2 linked regions of the Caenorhabditis elegans genome follow. The protein of the gene in region 1 interacts with the protein of each later gene in a pairwise test. Each region holds a gene or a part of one and is shown on either strand. Other genes may lie near its edges.

Region 1 (4,435 bases):
ATTCATGTATTTAAGAATTCCTGTGCTATGTTGTAAAGCTATTTAATTTCAAATTTTGTTACGACTTGAAACCATTTATGGGCCATTAACAAATAATCAATAATTTTTCCAGCGCAAGTCCTTAATCAGTTGGCTGGGAACCGTTAGCAGCCATCGCCTGCTCGCGTTGGGTCTTGATGCTGTTGAACACGTTGGAGAACACTGGAAATTTCTTCTATTAGTGAAATTTCCACAAACATCTCAAATCTTACTTTCTCTAACATGAGCCACATTCTGTTGTCCCTCGTCTTGTGGGCTCACGTCGACAAGTTGGAGCTGTTGTTCTCCTTCGTCTGGAATTTTGAAGTTATTTAATTTTTTTTAGTTTTTCCCAGAATTAAGTCTAAAAATCTAAACCAACCAGCAAGCCCTGCAGATTCCTGGATCGGACCTCCGAGTGCAACCTTGTGATTGTCGGCTGGAAGACCTGAAATTTTTTGGGTCTCGCAACGAAAACCTATAGAATCTTACCGAAACCGGTCATATCCACGTTGGCACTGACAGAAACGGACAAAAGAGCGACGAAAGCGAGTAGTTTCAACATTTTTCTGGCAAATAACAAAAAAAAAAGACTTTATTTGAGTATCCACCGCCCCGAAAATTGAACTTGAAATCTGATCATAATCTCGTAAATCCTTTCAAATCGGTCATGGTTTTTTTTCAATTGAGGGGCATAGCACAAATTTATTCTCAATTTTCAATAAGTGCAATCATCGTTTTTTGGTGAATTATGGGTCTGAATAGATAGGATAGGTAGGGGTTATATGTTTGGAAATATATAGGAAATCAAATTATAATTCAATGAAATTCGTTTTTAACAACACAAGCAATTAGGAAGAGACGCGAAAAATGAAATGAGAAAGAAAGAGAGAAATTAGAAGGAGAAAATAGAACAGACTTTGAAATATGACAGGGGCCCATTATCCCAATCATCGTACTATTTCTATTACGGATCGATTGAACATTACTGATTAGAGTGAAAGAAAGAAAAAAGTTGAGGGGGTAGGAAAGATGTTGAGGGTGGAAAATTTTAAATTAGAAAATAGACGGGTTTTTTAAAACCAAAACAGGATTCAAGAAGGAAAATGAGTATCTTTAGTGCGACGACATCTTGGAGAAGTCAGTTGGAGCCGATGGATCCGTGTTGGTTGAAGCTTTCAGAGTGCTCTCATCCATTCCCATTTGTGAGTCCACATCGAACTTTCCGAGTAGGGAAGCCATTGAGTCAACTTCTGGTCGCATCTGAAAAAAGAATATTTTGCTTTAAAATAAGTTTAATAATTTTAAAAACATACAGTGACTGGAATGACAAGATCTCGGAGAACAGATCTGTTCTCAATCTCCTTATCGTTGTCACCGGCCTCACTCAATGCATCGGAATCTGAGTAACAGAAAGAAGTATTGACAGAATCTGATGGCTCCTCTCCACAATACTCGTACAAGCTTCTCTTCCATTTCTTGATTTGAGTATCCCAACTGCGGCGACTGAAGTTTATAAGCTTATTTGGGGTTCGTGGATGTTGTCCCTTGATGCGATCGCGAAGTGGCACCTCCGAAGTATATCGTTGATAGACAGCCTTTTCCTTGGCTCTGTCGATTTCCTGAAAACAAACAGAATAGTTTTAAAGCCACTAATGTCCAAATAATTACCCTTGAGCGTCTCTTCAATACAGCCTCATCAGTGCACCATCCGAGAGTCGGCTCTTCCCAATGATCCCTTCGTGACGGACTGCTCGCCACACTCGAACTATCGGATCCACCATTTGTGAACAGACGGCCTCGTGGTGCTTTACGATTCGATTTCCCAGTTTCTGGACGACGTTTTGAAGGTGATGCACCTTCATTAATGGTTGACGCATTTGACAAACATCTTTTACGGCTTATCGGGCCTGAAGAGGATTCCATAACGACAGTTTCTGTGTGCTCCTCGACGGTTGTGATGGTGTCTCCGTTACGTGTTCGGGATTTGCTTCTTTGTGAACGACGAGAAGACGTTGACTGGAACACTTCATTTGTCAGCTCAAGTGAACGAACGAATTTCGGCTTGTTTTGACTGTTCTGGGCCTGGAAAAAAATTAAAATATGCTAATGAGCATTTAATTTATAAAATGCGAAATCCTGTACCCTCTTTGGCTGTCCCTTTCTGCGAGATTCACTCTTGCAACGTCTTTCTTCTTCAAGTCTACTAGCAAGCTCATCGTCTTCCTCGGTAACTTCAGCCCACGATCTGTTCGAAAGGTCGGCGAAATCCTCGACCGACTGAAATATTTAATTTTCAAAATTTGAACATTTTTAAAATAAAAACAAGTAAAACTTACAAAGATATCACTCTGAAATTTGGCAGTCGCTTTGATCGGTGAGCCCCACGCCTTCTTACGTGGAGACGATCTTGTTCCTTTTGTTGGAGTCTTTTGTGCCATTTTTTTAGGCGTTGGTGGCGCCTGCTTACGAGGAGACGGAACCATTCGTGACTAGAGATGCCCTGGAAAAATGATAAATTAGAAAAAAGAGCTTCAAGATAACCAAAAAAAAGTATTATAAAACAGTATTGAAGTGCGATGACATGAAATGCGACGGCAAGAGATAAGAATTATTCACATTTCAAATGGAAACTCCCGCCTAGAGATGTCATACACCGTGACGCACTTTCACGTACCGTGGTAAGATTTTTGCGGGAAATTTAATTGCAGAATTCTATCAAGGAACAATTGATTAACAAATGATGGGAATCGGAGTTCAATTAAATATGTATCTGATGAAATCTTGTCTATGCAAGTTATATTCAGATGAGGAGATAAGGCTCGCAATTAAAAATTTAACAATAAGTGCAGAAGCGGATTTCAATCAATAAACAGTGCTCCTAATAGACAGAGGGGTTTGAACGTTCGCGCGCGCATAAAATGACTGGTATGGTACTAGCATCTCAAAGACAGACTAGGTGCAACAGCTGCCCATTTCCCGCCCAAAATGTTGGCACTGTGCCAAATCGCGATAGAGACTGTGCTTCCCGCAGAGTGTACAGATGGTGACAACGGTATGGGGTGACTAGGTGGTACTAAAGGGGGATGAAGAGAAAAGGAAGAAAAAGGAGGAAGAAATTGGCGCAACATTTCTAACGACTGGAGAGAGTGGTGACTAAAGAGTTCGAAATATATATTCTGGAAGATATGTTAATTAAATAAATAGATAAGGACCGCCGCAAATATGAAAAAAAAAACTTAATATTTATTAAAAATTCCCCGTCTTTGTCATGGATGATTGCAAAGGTTTGATTTAATTTTGGCTCCTAGTTAATTAATTTTCAAGATTAAAAAGTAGCTCGAAAAACTATTAAAATTACGAAAAAACTCTGCTACATTAACTGCATAATCTGTTGGCACACGTCTTCTCCTCCGAACAGATGTGTGCCATCACACGATTGTGACCCGCCCCCCCCCCCCCCCATAACCGTGTGCATTGTTAGATTCGCGCAACCTCTGATGACGTCATCGGCGCAGGTCGAGCTCTTAGCATTACTTTCTGTGTTTGGTTTATCTGTCGTTCACGAAGGGGAAGAGGTCATCAAGGTGGCGTGGGGTCTCAACAAAAATGAAGCGAACACACCACCTGTTCGGAATCCATAGAAATTATGAGAATAAAGAGACAAAGTTCGAAATTCGCAAAAATTCGATATTTAAGAATTTGGAGAACAGGAGTGAAACCGCGGAAAAATGTGAAAATCACAGTTAAATGTCGGAAAACTCGAGAAAATTGAGAAAAAGTTATAAAACAAAAGCTACTGTTTTGCAGAGTCTCCTTTGAATATTATTTAGAACAAGTTTCGTTTTTTTTCTCAGCTTGAAGCTCCTTATTTAATTTTCGACAGAAGCCTGAAGAATTTAGAAGTGAACTTTTTTTTCAAGTTTAAAACAATTATCTAGAGCACGGACATTTAATAAAAATAAAAATCCCTTGTGATCATCAAAAATCTATTTTCTGATTTTTAAAGCATACCGAACGGTGAGTTTTCACTCTTATGCCACTTTTTAGGGAATCAAGTTGAGAAAATATGTTTAATTTTTAAACTCATCAACTTTTAAAAAACAGGAAAAATACAATTTTGGGAATGAAAGAGAAATAAAAAAATTAGATAGAAAAACTGTTTCTAGTTTGAATCGGCTACCGTACCCTTTGCAATGAATCGCTGCAAGACCCTTGCCTTCTGAGCGAAAATGTTCCTTTAATGTTCACATTTTTGTTTCTTTTGGGATTTTTTATTTACGTTTTGTACAAATTCAGTCCATTTCAAAGCAATTTCTGAATGATTCATCAGTAATTTTGAATTGTTTGATTTTATAGATATCCTATTTATCAGCGCAATTAGAATTTCGTATTCAAATTAGTTTTCATTTATCAA
Region 2 (5,076 bases), on another chromosome or scaffold:
ATAATGAACTGTGGTAGTGTCATTTAGCTGGAAACTGTATAGGTATGCATATATTTAAAACTGAAAACTCTCGAATTTTCAGAATTACAACAAAATGAGAGAAAAGTTCACGCAGAAATAGAAGAGGGGACATTGCTATATATTGAAAATTGTACAGTTCTTTAGAAGAATAAGGGGAAGAACTATGAAGAAAAAAGTTGACGTTTTAGCGGAAAAGTTTGAAAATTTTTGAGTAGAAAGAAGAAACATGTGAATTTTGTGTTTGTGCTTGAGGGGTTTTCGGTGGTTTTTCTCCAAAATTTGAAAAGCAGTTATTGTGATGTGAGCGATAGAAAACACAAAAAAGCGCTCTAAAAAGCGTTTCATGCAAAATAATATTAGAACAAAAACATAGAAAAGCACACTGGAAACCAATTAAACTAACCTCAAATTGGCGCTGCTCCAATTCCGAATCCGTGAGATTGAGTGTTTGAAGTTTCTGATTCTCGGCTGCTGTAAATTCATTAATAATGTATTTCAACTATTGTAATCAAAAACTCACTTGCTATTGGTTGAGACATTGCAGATGGCGCTCTGTCCACTGTCGATGGTTTATCAAACATCTGCGAGGCAATCTTTGTCTGGAATTGAGTGCGTCCTTGATAGCGGAACCGCTGGGAGCCAAAGTTGAAGAATGATTTATGTGTCTTGTCTTCAGGTTGGATCAGTCTGAAATTAAAGATTTTATTTAATTTTAAGAAATAATTTTTTCAGACCCGTCGAAATTAAATTTAAACGACAGAGATAATTATTTAATCGTAATTTTGGAAAAGCATGTTCGACAATTCAACAAAACAAAAATCAATTTCAGTTAAACAGTTGAAAAAAAATTGATCCATCGAGCAGGAATTCGAAAATTAGAACAAAAATTATTTTTCGACTCCTGCAAGATGAAAAATCCGAAATTTTTAGATAATTTTAGGCAATCTTCACGTATTTTTTAAACTTCTCTTTTAGAAATTCAGTTTTTGAGATAAGTTATTCTCAAAAATTACCTAAAGAAAGTGTGATGTTCGACTGCACACTTCCAAGTCCTCTTTGCGGCGACATGGTTTGGCAACTTGAAGTACAATGTCTTCTCATTCTTCTCGACAGTCCCTGCCTTGAGCTTTATCGAGAAGTAAGTACGACGATATCCGATTTTGATAATATTCTGCCAGCTGAAGGAATGCGTCTTTTGCTCGTCTTGGTAAATGTTTATTCCGGCGGCACCGATTCCAACGTCCACAGGCTTCTTGTCCTTATCCTGAAAGATATTTTATAATTATAAAAACAAAGCTAATTTGGGCATTTTCGAATAGTTTTTACTCCTTTACAGGTGGAACAGAGTCAAAACATTTTGTGCTTTAAGTGACAGAAAACCCTAATGACCGAATATGACAAATTTTCATTCAAATTTAATAATAATTCGATTCAAACATCCAATGCGTTGACTGGCTAAATTTACCAGTTTTCCTGATTTTCTTTTTATTTTTAAGTTAAAACACCGTTTTTCAATTTGCCAAACACTTTTCAGTGAATAAAATTTGATCACCCTCAAGAAATTGGCGGAAATTTCAAAATTAGCTTAAAAATCACCAAGCTGATAAATTGAAAGAGAATACTTAACAAATTAATTATTTTAGACAAAAGTAAATACTACTATTTTTTTCATAAACCACTAAAAATATTTCTTCAAAATTAAGGACTTGAAGAATGAGCACTAAAAGAAGAAAATGATAGAAGTTTAGATGTTAATTTAAGAAAAAATATTTTCCTAGTGGAGTACTCGAGCAGGAACCTTTTTTTGTCGAAAAACATACGGAGATTGCCTTGAAAAGGTGGATTCCGTAGAGAGCCAGGTGCTTGCAGTGATCCAAAAATTGATTTTCAGCTTCAGAAGGCGTCTGTCCGCGCATCTCTCTGTGCAAATCGACAATCTTCTTGTATGTTTCCGGATTCGCTTGTGCTGATGGCACCAGCTTGGACGCCACAATGAACTGCTCGTAGGCATCCGTCATCTCTGCTGGAGCATCACCGAACTCGATTTGAGCGACAAACGATCCGAGAAGAGAATGTGTGTCGGCAGTAGCTGGAAGACGTCCGGTGAGGAGATCACGTCTGAGTTGAAGGAAGACGTAGTAGCGAGCGTGATCGTCGACGATCGTTGTAGGTGTGGTCGGGTAGAATTTGACCTCGAACGAGAATTCCCAAGGAAGACCTGCAAAATTTGACAGTTGGTTGAAAAATTGATTTAAAAAAGAAAATGAAATAGGTGGCCGCGGGAAACCTCTTACACGGCCATGTGTTGATTTACGCAGTTTTTGGTTGAAAATTGTTCGAGATTTCGATGTTTTTCAGACTAATTTTTTTTTTTGAAACAAAAATTCCAACTTTCAATATTTTCCGCTTTCGCTCTATAAAAAATCAGTAAACTTTTAAAAAAGACTCGATTTCAAAATTAAAATTATCAGATTTTTCGATTTTCTTTGAAATACACAGAAGATTTGAGAAAACTTTGCGAAAAATGTAGAAAAACTATTTTTCTTCGAGGAATACACGAGCTGCGTAAATCGACACGTGGCCGCGGGTTAGAGTTTTTTATTATATTTTTAAGGATAATATTCCTAGATTCTTGTAATTCATCAGGGAATTTACAAAAAAAAAGGAAAATTAATACAACTTTGGACATGAAATCGATTCAATTTCTTTTCCGAATAAGAGAAATATTTTTATTTACTTGAAACAGCTTTCCAAAAATTTCAAGGCAGTTTTTTTTTTTTGAAAAAGCGGGGGAAATTAGCTTTTTGTGAAGAAAATCCACATTTTTAACCAAAATTTTCTTTTTTTTCTCATTTTTACCTTTAATCTGTTTCGCAATATTCTTATCATTATATAGCCAATGTCGTGTTCCCTCATCTTTGTCGTAGAAGCACAGCGAGAAGTATTCGCGTTCCTCAATCGATAGATCTCGTGTCACTTGTCGGAAAAGTGCTTCTCCTTCCGAGTTTTTCTGTAAAAATTTAGAATTTAGCAGTTTTTCCGGTGAAATTCTTCAAAAACTTACATTAACCTCAAACTCCTTTTGAACTCCGTCGGGAAGAAGAACTTTTGCCAACTGCATTTTCGAATCTCGTGGCTGCTGGCTAGTCGTTGGGTGTTTCTGGTCTCCGGGATCTCTATCGGTACCCATTTGCTCTGAAATGTGGAGGAAATTAATAAAAATTAGAAAAAAAACTGCAACTTTCATTGAAAATAGAAGTTTTAAAAGTTTATAGAGCAAAAGAAAGTGTTAAAATTTGAATTGCCCGGCCGACAGGGAGGAGGGGGGGGAGTAATGCAAACGCGCTCTATTCGAAATGCCACATTTTGTTCTGTTTTTCTGCGAAAAAAAAAGACAGAAGGGATGAATTGGTGTTGTTGGGAGAAAAAGTAGCCAATGCCCGGCATAAAAAACGCAATAAATTCTGGGAGGCATAGTAGAGAAGGACAATAAAGAAAAATTACACCTTTTCTCCGGTACCCGCAGATTGTGGTGAGAAAACATGAAATATTAGGATCATTTGAAGGTGGAAATGAAAAAAGAAAGAGTATTGGAGAAAAACAGTGGAAGAGTTAACTAAATTTACATTCAAAGTTGAAGAATACTTTTTTTTTACTAGAAATAAATACGAATTCAAAATTTTGGCTTTGACGATTTTAATGGGAATTTATAACGTGAATTTTTACGTTTTTATCTTCTGAAAAACAAAAACAAATTTATAAATGCCAGAGAACGTGAAAAAGTGGAAAATGTGGATTCGCAGCGCGAATAACACTAATTTTTGAGAAATGAAGATTTCGTGTCGAAAGTTTGCAGGGAATAAGTTAATTTTTTAGCTTTTTAATTACTTTTTAATTAAAATACAATAAATGGTAGGAAAATAGAAAAAAATAGAGGAAAACATCGAAAAAACGGACAAAATTTGTCTACAGTAAACTTAAAGGCGCATAGTTATGTTCGAGTGGGTCTCGCCGCGACGAAAACGTTTATGGTGGAAATTTTTATTTTTTTCAGGAATTTATTAGTTTTTAACGATTTTCCTTGATTTTCGTTAGCTTTTCAATAAGTAATTCGTATTTTTTAGTTCAGGAAAAAATAGGAAAACATCGAGAAAAAATTAAAGTGATGATTACAAAAATTGCTCACGAAATCCCGAATAAATAGAAAATTGCTACCACAATTTTTTATCGTGGCGAGACCCAACCGAATACATTCTTGAGGCGTTTATTACACGTTTCTAAAAAGCTTGTGAACTTGATAAAGTGAAATCACGATTAGTATTTTTAATTAGAAGTTTTCGATAGAGTAATTTTCTCATTGTCAGTCATGTTGGTCGCTACAAGACCCAAAATACACATTATTGGCAAATATCACAATAAAAAATTGTTCACATAGTTTCAAAAGAATTCCAATATATCAAAACAGCAAAAAATAATGCTTACGGAGAGCTTCAATTGATAGCAGAGGTGCACACACAACTGTTGCTATTTCTGTGCTATTTGTTGCTCTCCTCTCTTATTCTCGCCACCGCCATCAGGATGAAGAAGACGAAACCAACAGGCGTTGTGTTGGCCACAAAACAGCAGAAAAAAAAAACAAAAACGTTTAGTTTATTACACTGTTTCATTCTATTCTTTTCATCTCAGTCAATCACAGTAGTGGGAATTCGGAGGCAGAAAAGATGAAGGCGAGAGAGGTGTTGCAATGAGACAATTTTTCGCAATAGCAAAGAAGAGAGAGAACAAACAGTTTTTATTGTTGAACCAGCTTGTAGATTGACAATGTTGCCGATGAGAGAATTATTGGAGGCAATTAATTTTTTGGAAAGTTTCCTTCCGCTGTTTCACAGACCTAGTTATGACTAGCTTTAGAGACAGTCAACATCGCCCCTCCTTGTTTGACCTTTGGAAATTAAAAATATTTGGCAATAGATAACAACTGCCAAATCTCAAAAATTGAGGAAATTATCGAATTATCGAAAATTTGAACGGCCCAGTTGTAATTGCCACCAACCA

The links.
Region 2: the proteins of cdl-1 (region 1) and frm-1 interact in a two-hybrid assay, tested with the Caenorhabditis elegans proteins (one large-scale study listed by BioGRID).

Annotation. Positions count from the first base shown.
Region 1 is NC_003280.10:10,783,538-10,787,972, reverse strand, and holds cdl-1 (Histone RNA hairpin-binding protein), read right to left. Parts: upstream 2,522-4,435; 5' UTR 2,505-2,521; coding exon 2,358-2,504; intron 2,299-2,357; coding exon 2,164-2,298; intron 2,104-2,163; coding exon 1,690-2,103; intron 1,641-1,689; coding exon 1,335-1,640; intron 1,282-1,334; coding exon 1,135-1,281; 3' UTR 701-1,134; downstream 1-700. Other genes in the region: Putative protein tag-209, read right to left, coding at 122-201, 252-332, 401-466, 511-583. UniProt on the Caenorhabditis elegans protein: Involved in histone pre-mRNA 3' processing. Required for chromosome condensation, progression of cell death and morphogenesis.
Region 2 is NC_003279.8:14,894,152-14,899,227, forward strand, and holds the start of frm-1 (Moesin/ezrin/radixin homolog 1), read right to left. Parts: upstream 3,212-5,076; coding exon 3,086-3,211; intron 3,032-3,085; coding exon 2,881-3,031; intron 2,634-2,880; exon of another isoform or gene 2,412-2,633; intron 2,240-2,411; coding exon 1,842-2,239; intron 1,286-1,841; coding exon 1,035-1,285; intron 709-1,034; coding exon 542-708; intron 493-541; coding exon 425-492; intron 1-424.